Rattus norvegicus: one gene and its partners. The protein of the gene in region 3 binds, or shares a complex with, the protein of the main gene of each other region. Links are inferred from orthologs where the notes say so. Each region holds a gene or a part of one and is shown on either strand. Other genes may lie near its edges.

What was found. Proteins that work in one complex are often made in the same cells at the same time.
Region 1: Eif3f (region 3) and Eif3g share a complex: the UniProt entries of both Homo sapiens proteins name them as parts of the eukaryotic translation initiation factor 3 (eIF-3) complex. The link is inferred for Rattus norvegicus from reciprocal best matches to the Homo sapiens genes EIF3F and EIF3G.
Region 2: Eif3f (region 3) and Eif3d share a complex: the UniProt entries of both Homo sapiens proteins name them as parts of the eukaryotic translation initiation factor 3 (eIF-3) complex. The link is inferred for Rattus norvegicus from reciprocal best matches to the Homo sapiens genes EIF3F and EIF3D.

The regions. Positions count from the first base shown.
Region 1 is NC_086026.1:27,704,808-27,715,069, reverse strand, and holds Eif3g (eukaryotic translation initiation factor 3 subunit G), read left to right. Parts: upstream 1-5,123; 5' UTR 5,124-5,133; coding exon 5,134-5,153; intron 5,154-5,272; coding exon 5,273-5,319; intron 5,320-5,512; coding exon 5,513-5,596; intron 5,597-5,705; coding exon 5,706-5,794; intron 5,795-5,935; coding exon 5,936-5,995; intron 5,996-7,408; coding exon 7,409-7,513; intron 7,514-7,605; coding exon 7,606-7,795; intron 7,796-8,301; coding exon 8,302-8,409; intron 8,410-8,537; coding exon 8,538-8,674; intron 8,675-8,764; coding exon 8,765-8,871; intron 8,872-9,066; coding exon 9,067-9,082; 3' UTR 9,083-9,156; downstream 9,157-10,262. UniProt on the Homo sapiens protein: RNA-binding component of the eukaryotic translation initiation factor 3 (eIF-3) complex, which is required for several steps in the initiation of protein synthesis.
Region 2 is NC_086025.1:111,427,602-111,437,802, forward strand, and holds the start of Eif3d (eukaryotic translation initiation factor 3 subunit D), read right to left. Parts: upstream 5,140-10,201; 5' UTR 5,061-5,139; exon of another isoform or gene 4,841-5,060; intron 2,884-4,840; 5' UTR 2,874-2,883; coding exon 2,751-2,873; intron 2,390-2,750; coding exon 2,344-2,389; intron 1,636-2,343; coding exon 1,499-1,635; intron 982-1,498; coding exon 896-981; intron 400-895; coding exon 327-399; intron 1-326. UniProt on the Homo sapiens protein: mRNA cap-binding component of the eukaryotic translation initiation factor 3 (eIF-3) complex, a complex required for several steps in the initiation of protein synthesis of a specialized repertoire of mRNAs.
Region 3 is NC_086019.1:172,363,630-172,373,969, reverse strand, and holds the start of Eif3f (eukaryotic translation initiation factor 3 subunit F), read right to left. Parts: upstream 4,909-10,340; 5' UTR 4,885-4,908; coding exon 4,509-4,884; intron 1-4,508. UniProt on the Homo sapiens protein: Component of the eukaryotic translation initiation factor 3 (eIF-3) complex, which is required for several steps in the initiation of protein synthesis.

The sequences.
Region 1 (10,262 bases), on a different chromosome or scaffold from region 3:
AACTCTAGTCCTCAGGATCTGGCACCCCTTTCTGGCGTCTGTGGGTACTGCAGTCATACACACACAGATGCAAAACAAACATTTTCAACTTTTCGGGCAGCTGAATCTCTGTGTTTGAGGTCAGTCTTGTCTGAAGACTGAGTTCTAGAACAGCCAGGGCTACTCAGGGAGGTCTGATCTCTAAAAACAAACAACTCTGAGATAGTCTCACAGCTCAGGCTGGCCTTGAACTTCTACCCACTCCTGCCCAGGCCATCTGTGTGGTTACAGATCAGGAACTAGCAGCCTGGTGGCCTCAAACTGGCAATGATCCTCCTGTCTCAGACTTTCTTCCAGTGCTGAGGTTGCAGGTATGAACCACTGTTCCCAGCTGCATCTATACTGTCTGTTTCAAGGGATTCGTCCAGTATACAGCAAAGTGCTGGGCCAAACAGTGTCTGCAGCAGCTGCTGTTTCTCTTTAAGGTAAATACCTAGAAGTGGGTGGAATGCCACAGGATCTGAGATCCATCAAATCCCTGTGCATGCCGCAGAATTATATTCTGTCTTTGAGATCGAGTTTCCTAGAGCCCTGGCCATTCTCTGACTCTTTATGTAGCTGAGGCCAGCCTAGGCCTTTTGCCTCCACTTCTCAAGTACCAAGGTAACAGCCATGCCTCTCCACCCCCACCACACATACACACCCAGCCTCTAGAGGAGTTCAAAAGGCAGCCAGGCACGGAGGCAAAAACTCAAGCCTCAAATCTGCTACCTCGAGGGTAATGCATGGTGCCAAGATGAAGGTGAGTTTAAGCCACAGTGAAGGGAAAGGCATCAATGGTGGCGTGATGTTCAGATACGGTACAGGGACCATGAAGATGGCTCTGTGATTAACACAGTGCAGCTGAGCCTAATGGTGTGACTTAGATCCCTTGATCCCAAATGGTGGGAGACGAGAACCAATACCTGAAGTTATTCTCTGATCCCCACATAATCTCACACAATATTTAAAAATGTTTTAAAAATCTGTTTTAAGGGTCAGGCATGGAAGGTGCCCTTGACCTATACTCTGGAGGCAGAGGAGTGTGGATCATTGCTACGAGTTCAAGGCCAGCCCGGTCTACACAGTGATACCTTGCTTTCTTTTGTTTTTTAAAGCTTACTGAAGGACTGGACATGGAGGCTCATGCCTCTAATCCCAAACCTTGAGGAGCGGTTGGATTTCTGTGAGTTAGAGGCCAGCCTGGTCTAAAGAGCCAGTTCCCGGACAGCCAGGAGTTAGACTCTGTCTCCAAAACAAAACAGTCAAAAGCCAACCGTGCAAGCCATAGGTTGTAGTCAGTAGGCAGCACTCCTCCATGGCCTCTGCTTCACGCGCTAAGTTCCTGCCCTGACTTCAGTACAGGACTATAAACTGTAAGATAAAGCGAGCCCCTTTCTCCCTACGTGGCTTTCGGTCATGGTATTTATCACAGCGATAGAAACCTAAGACAGCACGCCCAGTATGCACTGGGGCTCCAGTGTTTGCCGTCATTCAAACACTGGGGAGGTAGAGGCAGGAGGATTGGTAGCTTGAAGTCATCCTCAGCTACCTAGCGAGTTTGGGGCCAGCCAAAGCTACACAAGACTCTGCTCCCCAGAAAAAGAGCGACACCATTTATTTAGTGGGTTTTTACTGTGTAGTGCAAGCAGCCTTTGGAGGCTCACTGCTGCTACCTCAACTGATGACGGGCATATGCAGCCCCCCCCCTCCACTACACAGCCTTCTAACAGTCACACCTTTGCATACAATTTGTCATAAGTTGTACTACTAGGTTCCAAGGAAAAAAATCCTATTAGTGCTTTATTTTTGTAACCTTTAAAAACTGCCTGGCCAGTTTTCTTTTTATTTTGTTACAAACAGGGGATTGCTCTGTAACCCAGGCTGGCCTCAGTCTTGAGAGAACACTCCTGTCTCAGCCGGGTGTGTGGCCCCGTGGGTCACTTTCCTAAAAACCCGCTTTGCAGCTGGCATTCTTTCCTTGGTTCCCCAACCTCCTTCCTTCTCTGACTGACTGTTCTACTCTGCCCTCTAGTGGCTACTGAGAGAAGCTTTCTCACAAGAAAACACAGTAAGGTACCTCAGAAAATCTTAAAGTGACTTTGTTCTCCAGCGTGGAGGACAGAGACCTCAAACTAACTCTTTTTTTTTTTCTTTTTCTTTTTTTCGGAGCTGGGGACCGAACCCAGGGCCTTGCGTTTGCTAGGCAAGCGCTCTACCACTGAGCTAAATCCCCAACCCCTCAAACTAACTCTTTAGTCTGTTTGTCTGTTTGTCACTTGAGTCACGACTCCACTCTGTTTCATCATGCCCAGCTGAGTTCAAACTCTTAGATTTTCTGCCTCTACCTCCCTAGCATTGGAATTGACCATTTTGTTTATTGCATCCTTAGAGAGAATGACAGTAAATGCCAAATGTAAGTTGATTATCCAACCTGCTTTTACAGCCATACCACCCATCCTTAGATGGTGCCTGACCTCTTCTGATTCCATTACACTTTCGTGTTGGCGTTCTTGGTCCTGAGGGTCCACTGAAGAAAGAGAACCACTTGAGGATGAATTAAGGCCTTTCTGGGCGCAGGGAAATCCAGTCTCTATGGACTGAATCTTGAACATCCTCACAAGATTTCTTCAAGGTCTTAGTGCTTCTAGAAAACAGCTATTCACGCTGGTGTTTACCCTAGACGCCATGATTCTACAAGAACTTCACTCCAATTCAGTGTGTGAGAACACACCACGGCATACGTGTGGGCTCAGAGAACAACTTGCTAGAGTCAGTTCTCTCCTTCTCCCAGATGGGTCCTGGGGTTGAACTCACGGCAACAGGCTCATGGAAAGCACCTTCACCCACTGAGTCATTGGCCAGCCCAAGATACAAGTTCTAAGTGCCGGGAGTATTGGCCATTACACACGGAGCTTGGAATGGGTGTCCCTGGAGGCAGAGAATCTGTTATAGTCTTCATTTACTTGATAAGAGCTTCACATGGGAGATAGTTTAAGGTGGCAGGAATAGAACTTACGACATGCTTTTGCAGCTAAGGAGGTATTGGGACCTAGGTAAAATATTTTAAGGCCTAGATAAAATGTTAGGGCCTAGGTGACTGTTACCTGGGTAGCCTACCATTATAAGGAAACTTTCCCATGTCTCTGCTGTTACTAAGAAACTTTCTAATGCCGAGATTGATTACGTATTCTGTTATGCTCTGTGCCCTTGGAAATCAATCATGATAGAAGTCAGTAGAACGGTTTTGTATCATGACCCACAATAAGCCTGGACCCGAATCGGCCACCCAGCAGCACTTCCTGAACCATACATAAGTTTCTATGGCACTTGCCTTTGTAAGCTGCCCCTGGGATGGACCCCAACATAAGAGAGACACCTGCACCAGTGTAAGAAACTATTTGGAACAAGACTTCCATTTTGAGTAGGAGTTGAGTAAAGATTACATTCCCAAGACCTTCCTGGGAACTGACAACCTCAGAGAGCAAAAAGAGACATGAGCATGGATAACTGACATCCTGGTTGGCAAGTTTTTTTTTTAATTAAAAGATTTATTTATTTATTATATATAAGTACACTGCAGCTGTCTTCAGACACACCAGAAGAGGGCATCTGATATCATTACAGATGGTTGTGAGCCACCATGTGGTTGCTGGGATTTGAACTCAGGACCTCAGGAAGAGCAGTCAGCGCTCTTAACCACTGAGCCATCTCTCCAGCCCCCTGGCTGGCAAGTTAAGACTTGAATGTTAGACAAGGCAAGTCCCCTGCCACAGTTGAATACCCCAACCATTGGGAGCAGGGTAAGTGTACAACAAAGACATGATCCCAAGGAAATCTGCCTATCCCTAAATCCTGATTGGTGAAATAACTTGGCACAGATGTTTGTGGATTTGGGGCTTAACAACCCTGCAGGATCTTAGCTTGGGGTTCAGTCCCTGAATCTGGAGTGTGACCTTGGTCAACCAGTCCTGGGATGTACGCTAAATAAACTGTCCGTGTCTGTCAGAGATTGGTGTTCATGTGGTTTGTGAAGCGATTCATTGACCCCAACAGGAGGCCAAGACTGCGGGCCTGAGCTGCAGGACCCACATAGTGGAAGGAGAGGCCTCCTGCAAAGTGTCCCCTGACCTCCACACGTGTACTGTGCATAAGGGTTTGTGAGTGCACAAGCACGGTGTCTTCAAACACAGTACAAACACACACGCAAGTTTGCATGATAAAACCTAGCATGCGTCACAGAAAAGGAAGCACAGGAGACCAGGTGGTCTGAGTCTATATCTTCTTCAACAAACCAGAGTCCTGGTATCATCCAAACAACACAAATCAAGGGCATTCTTTTTTTTTTTTTTTTTTTTGGTTCTTTTTTTTTTTTTTTAAGGGCATTCTTGATACATGTGCTTTTCCCCCAGGCTTGTTGGTATAATGCCAGTTATTTGTCAATTGCTTGCATTCGGGAGTTCAGGGGCAAGCCTGGGGAACAAAGTAAGGGTTTTAGTTTTGGATACAGAGTCTCATGTAGCACAGGCTAGCCTGGAATCCAAAAAGTAGCTGAAATGGCCTTCAACTCATGATTTTCCAGCTTCCACCTCTAACACTGGGTGATAATTAAAACTAATTCTCCAAGAGGAGGGAGAGAACGAATCAGTTTCCAGTGTGGTGGTTTCATGTTCGTATTCCCGGCACTTGCTAGAATGAGGTGGAAAGATTCAAGGCTAGCTGGGGTACATACACCACAAGGTTCAGGACAGCCTCGTATTCAAGGCCACCCTGGGAATGATGTTCATGAGCGTTTTGGAGTTGAGACAGAAGGATTGTGGGGAGTTACTGATTATCCTAGCTATAGAGTGAGACACTGACATCTAGTTCCATCAGCCTAAAGAGGGAGTAAAAAGTTTAAAACGCTCTTAGAAGCTCTTTTCTAGACCCCCTTTCCAGGTTGGATGCCAGCGCTTTGCGGCACGCAAAACATGCATGTCCACATTTGTCCACAGGGAGGCGCTGTGGTCACCGCGGTCTGGCCGCTCTAGGCAGCGGCCACAGCACCGGAAGCCTCTTCTACACGGGCTTCCGGTCTTTACCCGGGCTGAGAGCTGCGTGGAGTAGGACTTCGAGATGCCGACTGGCGACTTTGAGTAAGTGTTCGGTGGCGGTGGGGGTCGCCAGAGAGGCCGAGTGGGGGCAGCTCTGGGGTGTATGGTGGTCCAGGTAGCGCGGGGCCCGGGACCCGCTCACCGATCTCCTGTCCCCGCAGCTCGAAGCCCAGCTGGGCCGACCAGGTGGAAGAGGAGGGAGAGGACGGTGAGTGCTTGTGCGCGGCCCCGCCCGCTGCGAGACCCGGATGCCCACGCACAGGCTAGGGCCGCTTGTGGCCAGTCCCACCCTCGCTTTGCGCTCTGCCCCTGGAGCGGTCCCCCACCCCAACCCCCGCCATTGGCTTGAAAGTTCCAGCGCTGTGGCTCACTTACCTTCCTCCCCGAATTCCCTCCGGCAGACAAGTGTGTCACCAGCGAGCTCCTGAAAGGAATCCCTCTGCCCACCGGTGACACCAGTCCAGAGCCGGAGTTACTTCCTGGAGGTGAGCACCGTCCATCCCTGCCTTCTTCTCCCTTCTCCCTTCCGATTCTCAAGCCTACTTTCCAGCCAGTCCCATTACCCAGGAGTTAGTTTCTGTGATCTTCCTCCAGACCCACTGCCACCTCCCAAGGAAGTCATCAATGGGAACATAAAGACGGTGACTGAGTACAAGGTAGAGGAAGATGGGAAGAAGTTCAAGGTAAGGGTGAGGTGGGCATATGTGGTCAGCGTGACTTGTTCAGGGGCTCTTAGATCGGTGGTGAAGAGTGTCAGTGTTGCTTTGGATGGCTGAGGCAGGCCTGAGACTCGGGAAGCACTCCTAACTCTTTCCCACCTTCAGATTGTCAGAACCTTCAGAATTGAGACCCGGAAGGCATCAAAGGCTGTGGCCAGGAGGAAGGTGAGAGTGTACTTATTTGGGGGATGGGGGTGTTCCCCAGGACTGACCAGAGGACTTAGGAAGCCCCTTTTTGTTGATGTAGAATAAAAGTTTAGTGTTAGGCCTTGAAAGTTTAGGACCCAGGAGTAGATGAAGTTAAGATTTTTTTTTCTTCTCCTTTTGTGCGCAGGTGTGCGCACTTTTGGTTTGAGATGGTCTCTTTATATTAGAAACTAGACTGGGCTTGCTGTTCCCACATAAGTACATGCCTCTGATCTCAGATCTTCATTGGGATCAACTCTGATGGGCACTTCTGTGACAAATACTGTACTGAGACATATCCAGCCCTCTTGGTTTTTCTGTTTGTAGTTTGTCTGTTTTTTCCAGACAGGGTTTCTCTGTAGCTCTAGCTGTTCTGAACTCTCTGTAGACCAGGCTGACCATGAACTCAGAGGTCCACCTGCCTTTACCCCAGACTTAGGATTTAAGGCACTGCCACCACTTCCTGGCTTGTTATTTTTGAGAGACTTTAGCTCTACAGTCTTCATTCAGAATGCTTCTGCCTCCCGAGTCCCCACTTAGATTCTTCCTCCTTTGTCTACATGAAGAAGCGAGCAGCCTCTACTTACCAAGGGGGCAAGGGCGTCTAGCCGGGGCAGCACTGCCTGAGAGCAAGCACCCCTCCCCCCCAAGTCATCTAGCTCGACATGGCTTCTCAATCCCCACGCCAGTTTAGGGAGGCAGGGGGCTTTGTGGCCCCCATGTTACAGGAAGGAAATGAACCTCAGGTCTAACTAGCTCAAGGTTCCTAAGATCTGGGGATTCCTCCTTCATTCCTGATGGGAGCTGGGCTACTGACCTGCCCAGAAACTGCAGTGGCACAGTTGAGCCCCATGCTCAACTTTTTGTGTGACTTTGGGATCAAGCTCAGGTTGTTACAAGTACAACAAGTAAACTGCACCTTTTCACACTGAGCTACGGCACCAGCACCTTTTCCTTTTCTTTTTTTTTTTTTTTTTTTTTTTTTTTTTTGGTTCTTTTTTTCGGAGCTGGGGACCGAACCCAGGGCCTTGCGCTTCCTAGGTAAGCGCTCTACCACTGAGCTAAGTCCCCAGCCCCCTTTTCCTTTTCTTATGTATTTATTCATTCATTTAGATGGGGCCTCATACAGCTCAAGCTGGTTTAGAGCTTGTGTCTCAGGATGGCCTGCAGCTCAGGATCCTCCTGTTTGCACCTGGCAGATGTTGGAGTGATGTCATGTGCCGCCATGTCTATCTTAGGAAGTGGGTATTGTCACTGTTACCACACGGAAGGCCTCTAGGGAAACTAGAACATAGGAGTCAAAGCCCCGGAATGGTTGTCTGTCTGGGGTGCTGCACTGTGGGATCCTTCCTGCCTTCATCCTCACCTCCCCATCTTTTCCTGGGAGCCCAGAATTGGAAGAAGTTTGGCAACTCAGAGTTTGACCCGCCAGGGCCCAATGTAGCCACTACCACAGTCAGTGATGACGTCTCCATGACATTCATCACTAGCAAAGAGGTGAGCAGGGTGAAACTGGAACCTGAGAAACGCAGAGGGAGTGGGGTGGGTAGGACATAGCAGCCCCTTCTGAGCCATCCCTTCCCCACCAGGACCTGAACTGCCAGGAGGAGGAGGACCCAATGAACAAGCTCAAGGGCCAGAAGATCGTGTCCTGCCGCATTTGCAAGGGCGACCATTGGACCACCCGCTGCCCCTACAAGGACACACTAGGACCCATGCAGAAGGAGCTGGCTGAGCAGCTGGGCCTGTCTACCGGGGAGAAGGAGAAATTGCCAGGAGGTGTGGGCATGGGGCGCCTGGGAGGGGCCTCAGCTGTTCCTTTTGTAGTGTACTGTTTTCTTTCCCTATATCACCTAGGGACAACTTTGGGCATGGTGGTCATTCTGATGCAAGTGTGACTGATGACTTACTCTAACTTGGGTGTGCGTGTGTATATGTATGTATGCACACATACATTCAGGTGACACCCACATATGTGCTGGGCTCAGTAGACCGAAATCTAACATGTCCTGTGGGGGTAACTGCCTTCTGTGACTTGATTCTTGCTATCATGGATGTGTTGCTGAGGGACATCCTATAGTCAGGCTGCTGCCAGCTGGTATTCTCTAGCTTGTAGGGAGGGCTCTGCAAGCCCGGATCACGTCTGCCCTGCTCACCTTGTCCATGTCGTGAGTAGAGACTCTGAAGGGTTGTAGCTTCCTGGATATGATGTGGGTCACCAAAGGGTGGCTGGACGCCTGTCCCCAGGGGTGGGCTGAATATCACTTTTGTCTGCTGCTTTCCAGAACTGGAGCCTGTGCAGGCCGCCCAGAACAAGACAGGGAAGTATGTGCCTCCTAGTCTCCGGGACGGGGCAAGCCGCCGTGGGGAGTCTATGCAGCCAAACCGCAGAGGTGAGGAGGGTAGGAAAACCCAGGGAGCAGGTGGTACCTAGACACCCTGTAATTAGTCCTGCGTTGTGGGCGTGGGTCTGACTACGGCATCCTCCTCACGGCTACCTCTCCCTGCCCTGCCCACAAAGCTGATGACAATGCCACCATCCGTGTCACTAATCTGTCTGAGGACACTCGTGAGACTGACTTACAGGAACTCTTCCGGCCTTTTGGCTCCATCTCCCGAATCTACTTGGCCAAGGACAAGACCACTGGGCAGTCCAAGGTGGGTGAACGGGGCTGAGGGATGGGTAACTGGAGAGTAGGCATCCCCTGACCCACTTCTCACCACCTCCATGTCTGCCTCGGCCCACAGGGTTTTGCCTTTATCAGCTTTCACCGCCGGGAGGATGCTGCGCGTGCCATTGCAGGGGTGTCTGGCTTTGGCTACGACCATCTTATCCTCAATGTCGAGTGGGCCAAGTAAGAACCCTTCTACCTTTCCCACATTCTCCCTGGCCCTGTTATGTGGTTGCCAGGTCTGTCTGAAGGAAGGTCCTTGCCAGGCATGAAGCTACTGGTCCCAAGCAGGCAAGGCCTGGGCTTCCCTGGTATGAGGTAACCTTCAGCATCACAGGTCCCCACCTGCATCCTGACCACCTCTCTTCCTCTTCCCAGGCCTTCAACGAATTAATAAGACATCTGCTGCCTGCTGCTGTTGTCCAGATCCTCAGGGACAGAAAGCTTCCAGTAAACAGACTCCAAATACACTGTGTCCTGCTCGTTTTCATGGGTCTCCCTGTGGGGGCGAAGCTGGCCCCTCCCTCAGCCTATGGGTTTTTTTTTTTTTCGGAGCTGGGGACCGAACCCAGGGCCTTGCGCTTGCTAGGCAAGCGCTCTACCACTGAGCTAAATCCCCAACCCCAGCCTATGGTTTTATTAAAGGACCTGCCCAGGTGGGAGGCAGCTGGCACTGGTGAGGCACCAGCCTTGAGGGTAACTGGAGGACCCTTGCTTAGGATCTGTTGTCACAACATGACATGGGTGGCAGCACATGCTGGGTACCACAGCCATGTAGAGCAAGGGGTACATGCATGCGGCCAGGGGCACAAGGATGTGTATTGTCAGCCAAAGAAGGGCCCCAGCTCCTGCTCAGCCTGCGCCTTATTGGAGAAATTGGGGCAGTGAGCCAACCAGCACATCTTGGCATCCACATGGAGCACTTGTGTGATGTGGTAGGGCGCATAGGAGCAGGCATGGAGAGCCACACCATTGGCCACCAGCACTACCACACGCAGCTTCTGGGCTGTGGTTGAGCCCTGGCACCACCAGCCCCAGGACACTGTCGGTCATTGGTGTGAACAGCAGAGGCAGGAAGCCACCCAGGCCTGCCAGGATCACACTGTAGGCTCTGAAGGCCTCTGGCTGTCCGTCCCCCATTTCTAGGTACTTGACAGAGGCATTGAGATTGTTGTTGCTGCTGCCCCACGTCTGTTGGGCTGTCTCTGGTAGGAGAAAGCGTGGGGGGCAGCACTCAGGATGGCCATGACCCAGCTGACAGCACCGATAGCCCAGGTGCTTGGGTTGCAGGTGACAGGTGTCTGTGTAAAGAAGGGGTGCACAACCACCTTGTATTGGCTGAAACCGAGGCAAGCAGAGGATGCTGCTGCTGAGCAGGTTGCAGGCCCATAGCCATCCCCAAGCTCCAGTTTTCAGGCGGGTGGCAGTAGGCAGCCAGAGAGGCAGTGTTCGTGCATAGAACATGTTGCTGACTGCTGGCTGCACAGAGAAGGCCTCTGTACTTGGGTGATAAACTTGCCCACTGTGGCCAAGAGGAGCTCTGCAATCAGGATGAGCCAGAGGAAGTCCTGAAG
Region 2 (10,201 bases), on a different chromosome or scaffold from region 3:
CTTAACAGACACGAAGAAAACATGAAAAGATTGCACCAACACAGGCTGCGATAGGGACAGATCTTAAAAGTGGCACACTAAATAAAGGGCACAAATTATGATTCCATTTTACATGAAGTGCCCCCATCAGGGAAATCTGGAGATAGCAAAGAGCAGCGTTGTCTAGGACTGGGATCATAGAAACCTTCCGCCACAAGGTTTCTTTATACAAGTCAGTGAATAGTGAATGAGAGACCATGCAACTGTACACGGTGACTCCTATCTCTACACATAAAAGAAAACAAACCCATCCAATTCCCAACAGAGTCCCAGTATGGACACACTACCTGTGACTTCTGGTCCCATTTTTGCCTCACTCCAAATTGCTTCTGGAATTTTTTCTGTAAGCGAATTCGTTCTCTGAAAAGACAGACAGAATGCTGTGCTTTTAGTGTCGGCTTCAGGCTGAACTGCAGTTTCCTTTCTAGCTGCTACCAGGATAGAAAACCGGGGCTTAGGTGCAGAGACCCTGTAGGCACACACTGGGGATGTGAGCAGAGGCATACTACTAGTACCGACCAGTACTCAGCCCAGTTACTATCAAGGCAGCCCTGGCTAGGGTGTGGTGGCTGCTGTGCTCAACCCTAAGGGCCCAAAGGATAGAGAATAAACAATGCTTCCTGGAACCAGGTACGCTGAATCTAGAGGCCACAGAGCCACTTCAATTTTACCTACAGCTTTACAGCATAAATGCCCGCCTCAACCACTTACTTCCTGCCCGTCTGGCATGACCTAGTCTTGGATGGCGATAGGCTAGGAGGTTTTGGTTTCTTTTGTCAATCTTGTCCTGGCTCTGTGATTTCTGAACACAGCCCATACGGGAACAGGACTTTGACCTGGAGGAAGGGATGCTCACCTCTCTTTCTGCTTGGCACTTTTGGGCAGTGTCTGTAGGTTGAACTGCACCATGTTCCGCCGGTCTTTGTCTCTGCGGAGGTTCCGCTGCAGAGCAGAGAGAGACCCATGTTAACTCCTTGGAGACAAGGCTTATGATCTCTTGAGAGTAAGTTTAGGGTGTGAAGTTCTAAGTTTTACGTCTCTTTACTTTTGCTCTGTAGCATCTACAGAATTTGGGCTAAGGGGATAAGTACTTGTGTTAGCTTGGACTCTCATTCCCACTTTAATGTGGGTTTACTAGTTTTATTGGAGTTGCTAATTTGCAACTTTATGTAGCAGGAGGCACCCTACCAAACCACCTAATTAACAAAGGCTGTATGGAGCAATTTAGCAAGGCAGTGGGTTCCCAGCCTTGTGTGATGTCTGAACTACTGTGAACAGAAACCTGAAATCCTTCAACACGTCCCTGGACCCACTCCAAGTTATTCTGATACAACTGGTTACTAAATGGCCACGTGGGATTGGCCAAAGTCCTGCAAGTCTTTCCTTTCTCATCAGTATCCCAAGATGGTTGCTGAGCAGCAGAAACTGCCACAGCAAGAGCTCTGAGGTGCAGGCCTACCTGTGCGAATCTCATCCGGTTCCGCTGGTAGGCCGTCTTCTGTGTACGCGCTGTGTCCACTAGCTGGAAGCTCGTCTCATCCTCCTCGTGGAAATATGCATACTGACTTCCCCCACCGAACTGAGAGGAATACTTGTCTGCAGGCAAAGGTGACAGTGTGTGCTAGGTGCTGCCTACAGACTGCTCAGGGCAGCTCTCTGAAGTGTGGTTCTGACCTGAAGCACTGGCCAGAAGCTTGTGAGATGGGTACTCAAAGCTCCTGCCCAGACCTGACAGATGGGAACCTGTATTTAGACATGATCTCAGGTGATTCACATGCATATTTAAGGTTTAAGAGCTTGGGGCTAAAGAACTTACCAAGAGAGCCCAAGATTCTCACTCTAACTCACTTTACCTCTGCGTGGTCACGTAAGAATCTGAGCTGTAACACCATCCCTGACCATCACCCAGAGCTGTGAACAGGGCCATTGATCATGACAGATTTTCTTTCTGATCTCATCCACCTTAACTTGGTACCTTAGGCAGCCACTTCCAAACATCTAACTGGCACCAAGAAAAGCATTTTCCCTTATCAGAACTTTAAAACAAGGCCCAAAGACTAGAGTCCATTGATTGATGGCTTCAGAAAGTCCCAAGCAATACAATGTAAATGGTAGCATTTAGGAGTCTCTGGCTGTCCAGGAACTGCTTTCAAAACCATGGGTTATGCACACATTCTAGAGTATACTCCCAATAACTACCACTACCATTTCCTTTTCTTTCTAAAATATTTTCAAGTGGGGCTTACGGAAAAAAGTAGTGACCTTCCCAAGGCCTAGGTGTGGGCAGCCCACTGAGGGACTTACTTGTGTACCTCTTGTCCTGGTACGTGGCCCCTGTCCAGTCTGCAACCTGTTAGGGACAGCAAAGACAAGGAAGAGGACAGGTTAGACGAGTAGGCTTCTGCTGACCCAGAAACTTCACACAGCAAGGGCGACAAAGGCCTCAGCATTGCCTCTGATGCTCTTCGTGCGGCTACCCCGCATCTGACTCATTCCTTCCTCAGCTGGTATCCCCATAGGAAGTATATCCATCAAGAGAACAGAAAGGGGTTGGGGATTTAGCTCAGTGGTAGAGCGCTTGCCTAACAAGTGCAAGGCCCTGGGTTCGGTCCCCAGCTCTGAAAAAAAGAAAAGAAAAGAAGAAAAAAAAAGAGAACAGAAAGGAAATGGGGAGTTGGGGAGTAGCTGCCCCAGCTGAAGAAACCCAATACCTTCCCCAGCCGATCTCCTTTGCTGAATGGCTGGTAGGGCATATCCCGAAACTGCTCAGGAACGGCACAGGGACCCCAGCCTGAGGGGTTGTCCTGGATCACAGGTGTCATAAACTTCGCCATCTTCTAAAACCTGTAAATATAAGCAGTGTGAGAAGCTTTAGAAGGAAGGGCTAAGTCCCAGGCACTCCACCCTCCCCTGAAGCTGCATTACAGAGGTGCACACGAGGCAGAGCCCTAGCTCTCAAGCACTATAGACAGGGTTTTCTTGTAAACTGGTCTAAGAACACTTAAAACTCATAACACTGCCAACAGTAGCAACATTTTCCTATGTCTCACTAATCTAGGACAGGTTCTTTTTTGGGGAACATCTTTGAAATGAAGCTGTGTGTGTACCTTATGCTTGATGGGTGTCACGTCTTTTCTTTCTCAGTATAACATATGAGAAAGGTGTCCCCAATTATCAAAGATGGTAAAACTGATGAGTTCCCCCAGAAACACCTTCACCAAAGCATCCAACAGCAAACTTCTCTAAGCTCAGTCTCTAAAACAGTCTATATCAGAGAGCCATCATCAATTTTGACAGTTGTCATCCGGCACAACTACCACTCAGCTATACAAAGGCACCAGCACGGGGTGCTTTAAAGATCCTCGGGCTGCTGAGAAGGTGCCGCAGGTCAAGGTGGAACCGAAGTGGAAGGCGAGAACTGACTCCCAAATGTGGCCTCTGACCTCCAGCTGAATGCCATGGCACGCACACGCTGGCATTCACACCACCAACCTCCCCACACGTGCATACTCGGCAACAAAGAAATCCTAAAAAACAAAGGACTAAAAACAAACAAACAAAACCACCCCCTGAACCTTTGGCTAGACCCGGTCCTTCCAATCTTCCATCAGCACAAATCCTGTACAGTGCATGCGACCAGGCAAAAGCACCATTGGTGACCAAGGTCAGGCTGGGTCAGTGAGAAGGCTCAGTGGGTAAAGGCTGCAAAAGTGGCTGTGTCAAAAGCCCATAAGCAGTAGCACCAGGACACTGTTCTGACTGCATACAGCACACGAACTTATTAACCCCTTCAGACAGTCCTGTGGGGTAAGTCCTGTTCCCATTTTCTGGGTGAAAACTTAAAGGTACAGTGAAATAAAAGTCACAGTGCTAGATGATTAGAAATTTGAACACTGGTAGTGTATCTTTGGCCCTGAAGTCCATATATAGTATAGTGTCCAACACTACGCTCATTTTAGAAAAGTAAAAGCTAACAGCTGTGTAATCCAGGGGTTTGCTGGACACTTCCCATCAAAAACCAAACCAAGGGGGGTGGGGGGCACAAAGAAACCCTCTGGCACTGTCCAGAGAAAAAGTCATCACACTACTTCTTGAAGGCTGGAGAGCAACTGCAGAACACCAGTAGAGAACTTAGTAACCTCTCCTCCTTCTCTAAATATTTAGGTGACAGGGACAAGGAATAAACCTGGGAGCTTCACTCTCCAAATATGAGCTTATGCTAGGCTGTAGGAAGAACACGGGGGTGGGGTGGCTGCCTTCAAACAGCTGACAGGAAGTAAGAGGCCCCAGGATATCGGGGTACTATACCGGACACTACCACCACTGCTCCCTCACACCCCATCTTTGAGACACAAAGTTAGCTCTGCTAACGAAAAGTTTCCAAGGTGGCCTACTTAAGTCCTTCTTCTGGCTATCCTGTAGTTAGCTGGCAGTCTGACCATCTGGGACTTTAAGCCATACTCAACAGGTTGCCTCAAAAGCAATTGTAAACTTGAGGTGTCACAAGTTCAAGATGGCTCAAGGCTTGACATGCATCATCTCCCCGGATGGGCAGGGTTTGGTCCTTTGGCGTCTGCACAAATGAACCAGAAAGAAACTGGTAGGGAAAAACTAAAACGACGCGACAGCTGTATTGGCCACAATGTGGTGTGGATCACTGTGGACACTACAGATGGAGCCATCAACTCCTGGGCTCTGTTTCGGACCAGAGCTGGAACCTACTCTTCTTAGTCGTCCATTTCGGAGCATAGAAAGAATCTGTTCGAACCCCTAGAGGAGGCTACTTCGCCCCCCAATCCACCTCAGCAAAGCGTCGGGAGAGGGATCCACACACAATGTCCGGTGTCTTGCACTCTGTGTCGTGCCTGGGACCACCTGAGGCCGAATCCCGCCCCGCCCAGCGGAGGGGCACCGACGACAGGAGAGGACGTAAAGGAAGGCTCTTCCGGGAGCCCCCGAAGTCATGCCTAGCCCAGGCTGGCTCGCGAGGTCTGCAGGGTCCTACCAAACAAGCCGCTCACCTGCAACGGCCTCCGCGGGCCCGGATGGCGACAGATAGCCCGGGTAAGAAACTGCGATAGCCTCGATACTCGCAGGGACCAAGACAGGAGGGAAGATGCGCGCGCAGGCCGGTGCCGTAAAACGCGACCAGCGCTGTCGTAAATGGCCCATCACGTCCTTCTAGTCAGCGGAAAAACGTCAAGCCGTAAAGCGAGACCCAACCGGAAGTCCGTCACAGCTCTTGGCTAAAAGTCCTACCTCGCCTCTGAGGTGCCAGACACAGTGAGGTGATTACGTCAGCGGCATCTGGGGACGCCCTGAGCGGTTCAGAACTGAAACGTGGTCACGCTCGGTTCGAGAGAAGCTGGGGCGGGGAGCCAGAGCTACCCGCGCGGTGTCCCACAATGCTTCGCGTCCGCCTCTGCCTCCCACAATTCCCCGACGTTCTCGCTTGCTCCAGTCTGGTTGTTGGTCTGGCTCAGCCTTACCTGGAGGGTGGCCCGGCGCGTTACTTGTGCTTGTTACCTGTGGCACGTACGCAGGGTGGCAAATGACCTGTGTAGTCCGGGTTGCTAGAGCTTCGGTGTTCCACAGATCTCAAGAGTCTTTCAACGGAGATTTCTGATTTTTTTTTTTAAAGCAGATTTAGAGTGTCTCGCTCTAAATTGATATTCAAGTCAGGGCTATCCAAGCTGCAGGCTAGGAGTCTGCGTGTTAATTGATTATCACGATTCACACGGTGCAGTTCAGTGCGACCTCTTGACTTCTAACACCCCCTGCAGCCAAAGAGTGCTAGGCAATTATGAAACCTGTAAAGAAACTCAGGATGGACTTTTATTTAAAGTTGGTTCCTTCTATCTGGCTGTCTAGGTCTCCTTGATAGTTTCCCAGCAGATCTTTTTTAGAAAATACATCTTAGACACATGTGGTGTCCAGGTTTAGGCAAGACTAGTTTTATGGCCTTCAGATCCCGCGGCCCCCCCCCCCGCCCCGCCCCCAGCCAATGCAAGCTGGAAATGCTAGATGCTAGATAATAAGGGGTAAAATAAATGGCTGTCAAAGGACATTCCACTTTCTAGTGCTGAAAATGGCAATGTGGATGGGGTTACCCATTTCATTAAATTACCAATGAGCTTGCCTTCCAGTTTTCCCAAGTTTTGTTCCCTGGTGAGTCCTGCTGGGTCCTCATCATTAACTTCCTTTCCCCACCACATTCTAGTCTGTATTGTAATTTCAGCCATATCTGAGTGCTGTCTTCCTCATAGGACCATCTCCTCTTGTTGTTCAATCATTCATACTCCCAGTGGGTCGCTCCTCAGCATGATCAAAGCTCTTCCCACACTTCCTAGGGAAGCTCAACGTGGAGCTGGACTAGCTTCCCATGGCCCAACATCCCTGCCTGTTTTGACCAGCTCCCTGCTATTCTGCACAACCTCTGCTCTGGCCACCATGACCTGCTCTCATTCCTCTCTCAGCAGGTCCTACACTTGCTGTTCTTTCTGCTCCGAGGGTGTACTGTCACTGCCTTGGTCCTGTCATGTATATGTCTTTAAGAGTTGGCGTCTAGACAGGTCTGGCAGCATGTTCTGGGATTCCCCCTACTCTGAAACTGAGGGGAGCATGACATCAGACAGGAGCTGGCAAAGTCGGAGGTTGTGAGAAAAGGCACTTGCTTTGAACACTGAGCCATCCTGCTGGCTCTAGATCAGTTGTTAAAAAGTTGAAGCAAGTTCTCACTGGGTCACCTGATCCTAAGCTCCCAACAGCTGAAAACGGGAGGGCAGCCTGGGCAGCCCTGAAGCTAGCTTGGGCTCTATAGCAAGGCCCCAGATGAACAGAAAGTCGAAATGCCCTAAAATATGAAGAGGCGCGTATCTTTGCTGAACTGTTCCCATCATGTCTTTCCCTCCTTTCTCCCTTCTTTTCGATGTGGCTCCCAGAGGCTAGCTGCTCTCCCCAATGCCCAGACAATAGGTGATTCTTCCCCTGAGTGTACGTGGCCTCATGGACTCAGGTGATGCTAGGTCATTTAAGGTTGCCAGAAGGAGTGGGGGTGGCCTCTATTCATCAGCTGTGTGGAAGTCGTCATCCATGTTGGGGTGAGGCCACTTTGGGGTTGCCCATGGTCTGTAAACAAGCCCAGCAAACTCATTGGTTCCTCAGGGTGGACTTTGGTGGATTTCAAATTTGTTTGTTATTGAGGCCTTGTAAGGAGGGGTACGTCCTCGTTTATGTCCCCCATGGAAGAATACCCACAACATGTGGTCACCCTGGGTTCTGCTATCTGTAATGTGTGAGCATGTGAGCCCAGACTCTTCTCCACAGGCTCATGTCTTGGCACTGTTTTGGGAGGCTGAGGAACCTTTCGGAGATGGCATCTATCTGCCTGGTGCACGTTGATCACCGAGGGTGAACCTTTGAAGGTCATATCCTCTTCTACCTCTAGCCGGCTCCCTCTGCCTTCAGGCCTTCCATCATGTGAACAGCCACTGCCCCTCTACTCCTGCCTTCACAGATGGGGCTACCCCACCACACCTCCTCACTGTGACAGACTCAGATCCCCTGAAACCAAGATCCTAAATCCTCTTTTCCTGTTGGTGTTTTGGTCACAGAATATATAAATTTAAACTGTGCAACAAACCATTCCAAAATTCAGCCACTAAAACAGCAGCAAGCCTATTTTGGTCTTTCAGTTCCTGTGGGTCGGGGCCTGGGAGCACTGGCTGATAGACTCTGGCCTCCGGTCTATGGTGCTGCCGGGTTAGAATCGATGGAGATGGAGTAGCTGGCAGATAATGGTTGCTTCCCTCTCTCCATTTGGTTATGAGTCTGCCTGGGTGCTGAGCCCACGTGGGTCTGGGCTTCCTCAACATGGTATCGTGGGGTGGTCAGACCACTTATGTGGGCACTGGTGACTTCTAAGCCAGAGGCCACATCACCTACCCTCTGCCATGTTGCCTCTGCAGTCTCTCAGCTCCTCAAGGTCAAAAGTGAGCCAAAAGCTTTTCTAGAGTCAAAAGAAAGCGATGAAGGTTGGCGCTGTGAAGGCAGTGTTAACTGTCGACTCGGCAAAATCTAGTCACCTGGGAGAAGGGCTTCAGCCATGCTGTGGTGGGCTGTCTGGATTATACTAATAGCTGTGGAAAGGCCTATCTTAATATGGAGTGGGGCTGTACCGACTGGATAAAACAGAGCACCAAACATTAGCATTGGTGCATTCCCTGGTCTCTTCTGATTGTAGATGGACTGTGTTCAGATCTTTCAAGCCCATGAGGCCTTGACTTCCCCTGCCATGATAGACTGTAACCTGAGTCTGTGAGCTAAAGTAAGCCCTCTCTCCCTGGAGTTACTTTTGCCAGAGTATTTTATCACAGGAAAAGAGACTAAGATGTCATGTTGGGTAAGGTACAAGTCTCTGGAGGGCAGGTAGAGCAGGAGGTGTTGCTTGGGGTTATAAAATATGGCTTTTCCTAAGAATCATCAGTCTGGTTTCTGCAAATGCATGACTGAGTGGTTTGGAACACAGTGGAGTTCCTCCCAGGGAAGAGCCTGGACTGGGACCAGGGCACATCCAGGGAGCCTCTTTAGAGAAAGCACGTGTTGTGGTTAGTACTGATGTCAGCTTGACAGGATCTAGAACCTCAGGGTGTTCTGGGTGTGTCTGTCGGGGACTTATCCGATAACTGAGGTGGGAGACACACTGTAAACGTGCATGGCACCCCCACCCTCACCCTCACCCCCACCCTCACCTGGAGACCTTAGTGTCAATGAAAGGGAGAAGTGAGCAGAATATCACCATACATTTCTCTCTGCTTTCCAGTTCTGGATGCAGTGTTCAAGCTGCCTCAAACTCTTGCCATGAGGACTCCTCTACCCCGAGGTGAACTGCGCCCAGGAACTTCGAACCTTAAGTGGCTTTCATCAGGTATTTTATTACGGCAGTGGGAAAAGCAACCCAGTGTGCATGGAGGTGTCCCTCAGTTTCAGGGATGAAGAAGGGGATAGTCATGGAGCCATCTGCCATTGTCTAGGACCTGAGCTCCGATGGCTCTAGCATCACTGTTTCCTGGACAAGGCCACGACTCTGAAGGGGCCGGGGGCACATGCTGGTCTGTAGACAAACACTTCCTGGGATAAAGGTACTACTCAACTTAATCTCTCCTGCCAATCAGCCCCATGAGCCTGCAGAACCTCCTAGCTCTTTAGGTGTCATGGTATTTGGATTAGTCAGGGTGACAAAGTGTCTCAGCTGGCCTGTGGCTAGATTTTTTTCTTCATTACCGACAGATCTTGTACTTATGTGCCAGCCTTATTCGCTTGATTGAAAGGCTTGGCCTCCTATGCAGACAGGCCCCAGGTTCTACAGCAGGCTCACCAATGTGTCATGGGACAGCTGATGTGGGCAGCCCCACTTCTAGAGAGCCAACCCGCATCTCCTCTGCTCTTCTTAAAACACGGGGTAGGTTTTTCAATCAATGAGAAAACTGAGGCTCTAAGAGGAGCCAAGGTCAGCTAGTCAAGGTAATTTAGAAACTGACCCCAGGCCACTAGGACTGAGGTGTTACTCCTTTGCAGCATTAAAGTTCCCAGACTCTGAAGCTAGAGTTTTTCACAAGGCTGGGCAAGCATTTGGCTACACCCCTGAGGTGAAGTGGATGGATAGTGGTTAGAGTCTATGTCAAGTGTGACAAATTGTGAATGTTTATATATTTTGCTGAAGAAAGGACCCAAGACCTATGGAGTTCTTCATGGGACTCACTCAGAATTCATCAGCAATGAGGTCAGCCCACTGGAAAGTATTTTACCGTCAGAGAATTGAGAGCTCCAGGACTAGCTATTATGGCTCTGCAGGTTAAGGTGCTTGCTGCTTCGTTTGTTGAGTTCGATTCCCTGAGTCCACATGGTCACATGGTGGAAGGAGAGAACTGAGTCCTAACAAGTTGTCCTCTAACCTCCACGTGCATACTGCAACACACACACACACACACACACACACACACACCTTAAAAATGAGTTTTAATCTTTAAAGCAAATTGGACCACAAGGACTTCAGTGGAGACTGTTTCCCCCTCTCCTCCAGCCCACTTTTTCTGTCCCCCTGAGGCAAAGTTCAGAACTCTGTCCTCCTCTTTCCTCACAGAAGACTCAGGACTGAGGACAC
Region 3 (10,340 bases):
CTACCAGCCCTTCCCCACAATTCTCTGTACTCTCCAGAGTAGTGGTTTTCAACCTTCCTAAAGCTGTGACCTTCATGTTGTGGTGACCCTTAATCATAAAGTTATTTTCATTGCTAATTCATAACTAATTTTGCTACTGTTATAAATGTAATCTAAATACACATGTTTTTTGATAATCTTAGGAGACTCCTGTGAAAGAGTCATTCCACCCCCACAGGGGTCCTTACCATAGACCCTTAACTCTCATACTAGTTCCTGGATCTCACTGAGCCATGGGTCCCAACCTCACTCTCTTCTGATGTCCTGGTACCTTCCCTTAAATTCTTTACTCCTACCCCTTCTAACATGTCTCTGCTAGTAGCTAGTGCTATGGTTTCATTTTCTGAACTGTGTTTGTGGTGGTTTGAATATGCTTGGCCCAGAGAGTGCTGCTATTAGGAAGTGTGGCCTTGCTGGACTAGGCGAGCCATTGTGGGGGTGGGGGGTGGGCTTTGAGACCTTCCTTCTAGCCACAAGGGAGGGAAGCCCAGTCTTCTCCTGGGTTCCCTTGAACAAGATGTAGAACTCTCGGCTCCTTCTCCAGTGCCATGCCCGCCTGGATGCTGCCGTGCTTCCCACCCTGATGATAATGGACTGAACCTCAGAACCAGTAAGTCAGCCCCAATGAAATGTTGTCCTTTCTAAGAGTAGCCTTGGTTATAGTGTCTGCTCACAGTAATGGAACCCTAAGACAGCGTTCTTAATCCACGGGCATACATTCTCTAACTACTCACCAACTTCTGACCGCTGTGACTGCTTCCCCCATTTCAGAGCCTCTTCTCCTAGGGCCCCCAGGACACCAGTCTGTTCTAGCTTTCTCCCTCCTCTTCCTAATCTGTTGGCTGCCCTGACACCTCGGTATTTCAGCACTGTTAGCATTCCTAGTTTTTGGTCTATGCTCCTTTTCTAGGTCAAGTCTTGACCCAGAAACATTTCAGTTCTTGTTTATGTGCCTAATCTCTTTTGCATCATTTATGCCTTTTTTTTCTAGCTACAAAGGCAGAGTCGAGTAGCTGTGACAGACTACACACAAAGCTGAAAATATTTCCTGACTTTTTTTTTTTTTTTTTTTTTTTAATAACACAGCTAACAATCCCTGTGGTAGGTGAGTTCATCTACCTCTTTATTTCAGTTACTTCTTATCTTCTGGTGGCTAGGACATACTTGCCCACACCTCTCTACATTTGCTTCTTCATACTTATTGCTAAATTTTGCCTTTCTTTCCCACTGATTAATTATGGGTTGCCCACAGAGGTCAGAGGACAATCTGCAGGAGGTTTTCTCCTTCCATCATGTGGGTTCTGGGAACTGAACTAAGGGCAGGCTTGTGACCTACCCTGCAGCCCTGCTTACTCAATCTGCTACTTGAAAAATCCATTGACACACTCAGTGGCACCTCAGAAGGAATATCTACCAGGACCAAGTCAAACTCTGTCTCTCCTTTCTTCTGTGCACAACTGCAGGTCTAGAACTCACCCACCCATCCTCTAATGCTGCACTTCTGATCACACCATGTCCCGTCATCTCTATTTCCCATCTTTCACTCTCCTACATCTCTCTCTGCCTCCGCTTCACAAGTGCGTCTGCTTTACCAGAATGCCCTCAATCTGCTGTCCAGGCCCAACTCAGGTCTACTACTCTCCACAAAGTAGCCATATTCTCTAATTTCTTCTGGTCTCAGCTTTGGAATGAGCACAAGGGCCTCATGCAGAGATGAGCATGGTGGAGTCTTCTTAGCCCCAAGGGCAGGTAGGTGTCCAAACCACCAAGGGCTGATGACGACCTCTTCAGACAGTAGAGTTGCCAAGGGCTTTATTTTTAAAATCTTGTTTCATTCTTAAATTAAAAAAATGTTTATTTCTCAATAGTGATACATTTTGGAACTACTACATAAAGTGAAAGCAAATACGTTTTTCAGCTTTCAATTTCCTGTCATGCTATTTTTTGAGATTCAGGGATTAAAAAAAAGCATTCCTGGGTATTCTCAGAGTTTTCAAAACTATGATATTTAGAACACACTTCTAGTAATCTTTATATCCTATAATTTGAATAGCTAAGGTTTTTATTTAAAGGATAAAGGACACTAGGCTTAGTAGTGCTAGTGCTTACAAAGAACTTTAACCTATGGGCATAGTCATTGAAAATTATTTAAAAGTCCTACAGCAACACGCAAGATTTTAAATCCAGGTCTTGCTCCTTTTGGAATCACATGTGGATACTGTCCATTTAAGGACTTACTTCACGTTGAAAATGTGTTACACCTTACCATGACCTTGCACATCTTGCTATGTACAACTCCTTCATAACCTTCTAAGTAGTTACATCTACGTTTCCACAGGTACCTGCAAGCAGAATGCTTATCCTGTGTACAGTAGTTACTTACAGGGACTGTGTTTCCATCTCGAGTTTAAGGTTACAGCAGAATTCCTTTGACTAATTTTAAATTCTAAGTACCTAACAACTCTATGACGCATGAAACTCAACGATGATTTCATTTAACCACACAAAATCTTTTACAAATTAAGAACCAAGAAAGTCTAAGCTTCTACCAAGCACATACTGCTTCATTTGTTTTTCTACCAGTAACTGTTCTGTAACAGTGGGAGCAGTGAGTGGGTCTCAGCCTGATAGAGAACCATACACTACAGCCGTCCTACGATAAAACAGGGTCAACATAAACCTTGGGTAGACATTTATTTCTTTAATTAAACAGCTCCAGAGACTGGAAATTAGATAGCAAATTCAAAGTATTTGTTATGTGGCAAGTCCCCGATACAAAATTCTTTTGTTACAGAAGCTCACAGTAGGGCAGTTACAGAATGCCAATATACGGTTAAAGGTTACAACTACAGAGACACTGAGATTAGAGTTCTGGACTGAAATAAAATGAAGAGCAGGAAAGATATGTGGCAAAGAAAATGCAAGTGTGTTCTGATAAAAAGACAAGGTATTAACTCTAAGTTCCTGTAAACGCCTACTCTGTCAAAGACAAGGGAATGTATGGTATGGTCTCCTATGTGACAGAGGATGACCAACAGTTGCTGTACCTGAGGTATGCCAGCCATTAACTACTTGCTATAATATTTCATTCTCACAAAAACTGTCTGCTGGGGCTGGAGAGATGGCTCAGTGGTGGAAAGCACTGGCTGCTCTTCCAGAGGACCTGGGTTCAATTCCCAACACCCACATGGTGGCTCGTAACTGTCTGTAGCTCCAGTTCTAGGGGATCTGGCACCTTTAGGCATACATGCAAGCAAAACACCAATGAACATAAAATAAAAATTTTAAAAAATGTCTGCTGCCCTTGGAAAACAAAACAAAAACAAGCAAAAACCTGCCTGCTAAACAAGGCTCTGACGGTGATTTGTCAGGGGACACAAAGCTAGTAACTGCTGGAGTGTGACTACAACCCCTGTCCTCCCTACAGTTCTTGGATCATCTTCTACGGTGCATGGCCTGCTAGAAGACCACCAGTAAGAGATGATGGGTACAACTAGAGTGGACTGCAATGTCTAAAAGCTGTCACCGAGGCAGAGAGGAAACAAGGCTGATAGGCTCAGAAGTCCCCAGAGAATGATATTCAACAGTGTTTAGTGCTTTTCAAGTTTACAAGCTACTTAAACATAAACCACTTCCCCAAATCTGTAATACAGGCAAAGAAAAGATTACTCTTCATCTTGAAGGTTAGCAATGATTGTAAACATGGAATCATGATTGTAAACACAACAGTTTGTGTCCAAATGGAAATCAAAGGAGAGTGAGAGGGAGGTAGTGTGTGTGTGTGTGTGCTCGAGTGTGCATGAGCAGGAACTTGGAGCTGAGCATATATAGGTCCCCCCATCTTTATTAAATTGGGTATTTCTTATTTACATTTCAAATGTTATTCCCTTTCCTGGTTTCCAGGTCAATATCCCCCTAATGCATATATAGGATTTTCTCTAGGAACCAGTATGTGAGAAGACCTTGGGACAAGCGTTTGTCTGAAAAGTTCAGGAAAACAAGCTATATATCCAGAATATGTTTCGAAATAACCTGTTTTTTTTGGTGAACTGGAGGAAGCTTTTGACACATCCTCTTCCCTAACGTGGGTGGTGGGTACGATCTGTGTGTGTTGGGGTGGCGGTAGGTCAGTGGATAAGAGGGAAATGTGGGTTCTGTGTTTAAACAGGTCAAGGGCTTTGAATTTGCTGGCATTTGGGCCTTCGTTTTTGGCAGCATGCCCTCTCTTTATCTCACTCTTGGGAATATAAAATAATATGTAGCTCAATTATCGCAAACTATGCAATCGCTCATACGTATTCCTTGCACATGCCTGTGGCTTAACTGAAATTCGGCAGGATTCAAATCATTTGGGAAGGCAAGCCACAGCAAGAAGGTGCAACAAGATAAACAGGATAAGAATTCAAGGACGATGAACGAGAATAGGAGGAAGATGGACTGAAGAAAATATTAATTTCTCCAGAACTTACCCAGCAGGGTTCCGATAACTCGGGCAGCTCCCTCGTTGCGGCGTTCATAGCTGTCCACGATCGAGGCCAAAATGACTGGATGTAGCCTGACCACGCGGCCGCCAGGAAAAGGCCCCGGGAGGGCCGGCCCGGGCTGCGAGGGCGCCGGCGTCTGCGCAGGGGCTGGCGTGGAGGTTGAGGTCTGGCCCGGAGCTGCAGGCGTAGCTACAGCAGGATCAGACGAGACGGGAGCCGGTGCCGCAGCGGGAGTCGCAGCCTGTGCTGGAGCTGGCGTGGGTGGGGTCGGGGCTGAAGCCGGGGCTGAGGTGACGGCCGGCGCCGGGGCTGCGGCTGCAGTGGCGGGAGGGACACTAGCCGGTACGGCTGGGGATGCCATCTTGCCGAGAAAGAGAGAGGCTAGAACGGAAGGGCGTGAGTTGGTAGTATTAGAACCTTGATTGGCTAAATTTGTACCACGTGACCCATATCTTGCTCACTATTGGGCATTGGAATTTCCGGCTGGTTGTAAAGTTTAGTGATCTGTGTGCGCTTTAATTTCTGTCCGATGCGCACTCAGTATGTAGTAAGCTAAAGTAGTTCCTAGTAACTTTGGGACCTCCTGGGGGTGGGGAGGAAGCAACTAGCAATCTACACAATTGCCACCAGGTGGCGGCACAGAGTAGTGTAAAAGTCTCAATTCTTGTTTTAGGCTTAAATTGGATATTAAATATCAGTCTTAAAGGAGATTCATTGTTGCATCCATTTAACTTATTAGTCAATCAGTCAATTGAATTTTGGATTCATAATTTACTCCGCAGTCCACGCTGGCTGGAGCTCTCCTTATCTCTGCTTCCTGAATGCCCATGCATAGTGCTTTCTTTGTGATGGCTTCATAAGGTATCACTAGGAAGGCATATTCATTCAACAATTTAAATGTTTAGTATGCACCAGGCTCTTTTTTAGGTACTTGGGTATACAGGTGAACTAAACAACAAAGGGTTGCATTCTCTTGGGGGAAAGAAAAGGATAAAGTAAATCCTATGTTAGAAAATGCTATGATAGTAATCATCGTATTCCTTGCCGCCACCACCACCACCACCACCACCACCACCACCACCACCACCACCACCACCACCACCACCACCACCACCATCATCATTATTTAACCGTGCTATGAGAAAGAAATGATCAGTGGAGGTTATGAAGGCAGAAAAGTTGTGAAAGTTTAGGTTAGGTCACAGTGAAGGTATCAAGCTGGGGTGGAGACTTGAAGAAAGCAGGCAGCCAGCTATTATTTGCGGTTTTGGAGGGAGAGCCCTTCTGGTGGAGTGAACAGTTAGTGCAGAGGACTTAAAGTGAATGAGAGCAAGCCTAGTACATTTAAGGAAAGGATTTGGTGGCTAGATAGCATGATCAAAAGAAAGGATAGATCTGTAAGCAGGGGCAGGAACTGATTATTAAGATGCCTCTGCTGGAGCTGGAGAGATGGCTCAGTGGTTAAGAACACTGACTGCTCTTCCAAAGGTCCTGAGTTCAATTCCCAGCATCCACATGATGTCCCCTTCTGGTGTGTCTGAAGAGAGTGAGAATGTATTCATAGCCAGTGAATGAATGAATGAATAAGTAATAAACAAATCTTTAAAAAAAACCTTTATGCTATAAAAAATTTTGGCAGTGGAGGGATGGCTCTGAGAGAGAGAGAGAGAGAGAGAGAGAGAGAGAGAGAGAGAGAGAGAGAGCTATCCACGTACCCACGACTCTAGTTCCAGAGGAACCTATGCCCTCTTCTGACCTCTACAGGAATTGCACTCACGTGTACGTACATTCCTAATCATAGATACACGCATACACAATTAAGAAAATAAAAAAAAAGCATTTGTGATTATGAAAAATGAGTGTTTTATGATCTTCAGGCAGCAAGTATTGGTTCAATTCTGAGAGCCAGCAGACTCAAACCCTGTGAACCAATGTTTTAGTTTTATTCAGAAGACCAGAGGAAACTCATGATCCTTCTCAGAGTAAGAAGTATAGAGGTTCTTTTTACTTTCTTTCTTTCTTTTTTTTTGAGACAAGGTTTCTGTGTGTGGCCCTGACTGCCCTAGAACTCAGAGATCTGCTTGGCTCTGCCCCTCTGAATGCTGGGACTAAAGGCAAGTGCCACCACTGCCCAGCATTCTTTTTTTTAAAGTTTTTTTTAATGTGTGCTATATGCACAGGTGTGTGTGTGTGTGTGTGTGTGTGTGTGTGTGTGTGTGTGTGTACTCATGAGTGTGTGTATGAAGGCCAGACATGAAGGACATTGAGTGTCCTGCTCTATTCCCTAGAGACTGTGTCTCTCACTGAGCCTGGAGCTAGGCTGTCAGTCAGCAAACCCCAGTGATCCTTCCGTCTCACCATCTACAATGCTGGGGTGACAGGCTCACGAGCTAAGTCCTGACTTTTTATGTGGGTGCTGGGGATTCTAACTCAGGTCTTCATGCTTGCATAGCAAGTACTCTTAACCTGGCGAGGCTCTCCTCAGCTCCTTTGAGAAGTTTTCTTGTTGGCATAGATTCTTTGTCCTCAGATGGATATTCTCACCTATTCTTCTCTCTCTCTTTTTAAAGATTTATTTATTTTATGTAGATGAGTATACTGTCTTCATGCACACCAGAAGAGGGCATCAGATCCCATTACAGATGGTTGTGAGCCACCATGTGGTTGCTGGGAATTGAACTCAGGATTTAAGCACTGAGCTGTCTCTCCAGCCCCAACCTATTCCTCTTTTCAGTCCTCCCCCATTAGTATTTTTCCTTCCCCTAGTTTTCTTTCTGCTTTCATGTCATATATGTATGTGCATAATGTAGATTATGTTATATATAAAAATAAAATTCTAGGATCCTCAAATGAGGGAAACATGGTCCATCTAAATGGTAAGCAGAGACCTCCTTTTAAAAATTTTATTTATTTATTTATTACTTATTCACTTTACATCCTGCTCACTGCTCCTCCCAGTCACCCCCTCCTACAATCATTCCCTCATTTTTTCCCTCTTCTCCTCTGAGTGGCTGGGGGCCCCCTGGGAATGCCCCCACCCTGGCACTTCAAGTCTTTGCAAAGCTAGGCGCTTCCTCTCCCACTGAGGCCAGACCAGGCAGCCCAGCTAGAACACATCCCATGTACAGGCAGCAGCTGTCAGGATAGCTCCTGCTCCAATTGTTCAGGACCCACATGAAGACCAAGCTGCCCATCTGCTACACATGTGCAGGGAGGTCTAGGTCCAGCCCATGAATGTTCTTTGGTTGGTGGTTCAGTCTCTGAGAGCGACAAGGATCCAAGTTAGTTGCTTCTGTTGGTCTTCCTGTGGAGTTCCTATCCTCTTAGGAGCCTGCAATCCTTCCTCCTATTCTTCCATAAGAGTCCCCAAGCTCCATCCACTGTTTGACTGTAGGTGTGTGTATCTGTCTGGGTCAGCTGCTGGGTGGAGCCTCTCAGAGGACAGCCATGCTAGACTCCTGTCTGCTAGCATAACAGAGTATCATTAATAGTGTCAGGGATTGGTATTTGCCCATGGGATGGGAAGAGGAGATCTTTCTTATTCATGAGAGAACCAGGCCTTTCCTTTGTTCAGGCCTCATCTGGTGGGATAAGGGGCACAGTTGGCTTTTGTCAGCTACTGATTCAAATGATAGTCTCATCCCAAGGACAGTCTTACAGAAACTCTCAGTGATGTGTGGACAAAATTAGCCCTATCACATGTCACTTTCTAGTTGCTCTGGGAAGTGTGTTTGAAAAGTTATACCTGAAAAAAAAAAAAAACAAACCAAACCAAACCAGACCAGACCAGACCAGACCAGACCAGATCAGACCAAACCAAACCAAACCAAATCAAACCAAACCAAACCAGGATCTTCTCTACCAGGGAGTCATATGACGGTTGGCCTGTAGGCTATTTACCTAGCCCACCTCAAGGACTGAAAGGAAGCCTCTTGCAGTCTCTTTGTCTCTGTCTCAGTCTGTCTTTCTGTCTGTCCATCTGTCTCTCTCCAGCTCTCTGCTCTTGCTTCTCCCTTCTGTTTTGTTTTCTGCTCAGTTTATGTGTTTTATGTCTCCCTCTATTTCTTCTCTCACTTTTTCTATTTGTATCCTTGACCCTGTCTTCCCCATGTTTATCTTCTTTTTTTGGATACTCAGTTTCTCTTGTCCTCACCTCTGTCTCTAGCCAGGGCAGGGTTAACATCATCTCATTTCTTGCCTCCGCCCCTCCAATTAGACTCAGTTCCTGTTTCTATAAATACTGAGGTGTTACTAAGAATCTCTGGCACAGTGACTTGGGCCTTGAGATCTGTCATCTGTACAGTAAGTAGCCTCGGCTCGTTGTTGTCTAGAAAGCCATGTCTCATTCTTTTGTTTTCTCATGTGGGCTTCTTGGTCTCGATCTCCGGTACTTTGGTTTTTAATTTCTAGCCTGAGCTTGCCTAAGGCTTTGAGCAAGTCAGATCCCATTCCTGATGTTTCCCCTGGACTCCGGAGTTCTCACAGAGCACTGTGACCTGGGGCTTGGGGAAAGGTGCACAGGTGAGAGGGCTGGCAGTGTTCACATCCTGGCTTCTCCTCTTTCCTGCTACCATCACAGCCAAGCTGTTTGGGAATTCTGTTAGCCATTCATCAGATAGACTAGAGCATCTGTCAGACATGCCCACAAGCATATTCATAACAGGAAACCCACACAACTGCCTCTCTGTCTAACAAACTTTCTCATTGAAAAGCTGATTTTCTTCCTTTTCTCAGGATCCTGATCCAGTCCCCGTTCTCAACCCCCACCTTTGGTATTTCTAGCCTGATGCCTCCTTTAGATGCTTTTTGTTGGCATTTAAAAATACCCCACCCTTTCCACGTGAGGGTAAAGACTGCTTGGGCCAGTGCTTCCTCACCTCTGCAGATTCCCTGCATTGTCTAGTTTCCTGAAGAACATTTCTACCACTTCTTTGCCTCCTAGATTTTTTTTTTCTGGGATGATCTATGACTTAGTTTTACCACAGTGATGCACGTGTTTGTATCAGAAACTCAACATATTACAAAGTCTGTGTCTTCGGTTTTTATCTTTCTCACTATCCTTATCATCTTCCTAAGACAAATACTTTAGATTTTTAAATGTCTTTGTGTACACACACACACACACACACACACACACACACACACACACACACACACAAACACACACACACAATTCTTTTTGACTCAAAGCTTTTGGTATCATCCATTGACCTTTTATTCTAACTATCCCCTTATCATTCTTTTTAATTAAAACTTCCTACTCTATGTGTATGGAAGTTGCGGCTGTATCTATATCTCACCATATCATGTGCACACCTGATGTCCTCGGAGGCCGGAAGTAGATATTGGCTCCTCTGGGACTGGAGTTACAGAGATGGTTGTGAGCTGCCATGTTGGTGCTAGGAATTGAACTCAGGTCCTCTGGCAGAGCAGCCAGAGAGAGCTCTTAACCATGAAGCCTTCTCTGCAGTGACCTGTCCACTATCCCTTCATTGTGATTATATTACAGATTTTAGTAATCCGGTGGTTACACTATTATTTGTATGCACACATTTTCCCCAAGTGCTGCAGTTTTCTTATTCTTTTGTTTGTCCCAAAATATTTACTTTTCTTTCGTTTCTAGTTTTCTGGTAACTTACTGCTGGGTTTTGCACTTTTGGTTGTCTGTCCAGAGCTAATGCAGAGAGACAGAGGCATTGGTTAAAGTGCAATCCATTGCTCTTTTCATCTTGAGGATCGTTTTGGAGAAACCACTCCAGATTTAGGGAGACTTAGAGACTCTCTGCTCTCTAGGCCAACTGAGCAGCTGCCTGTTAG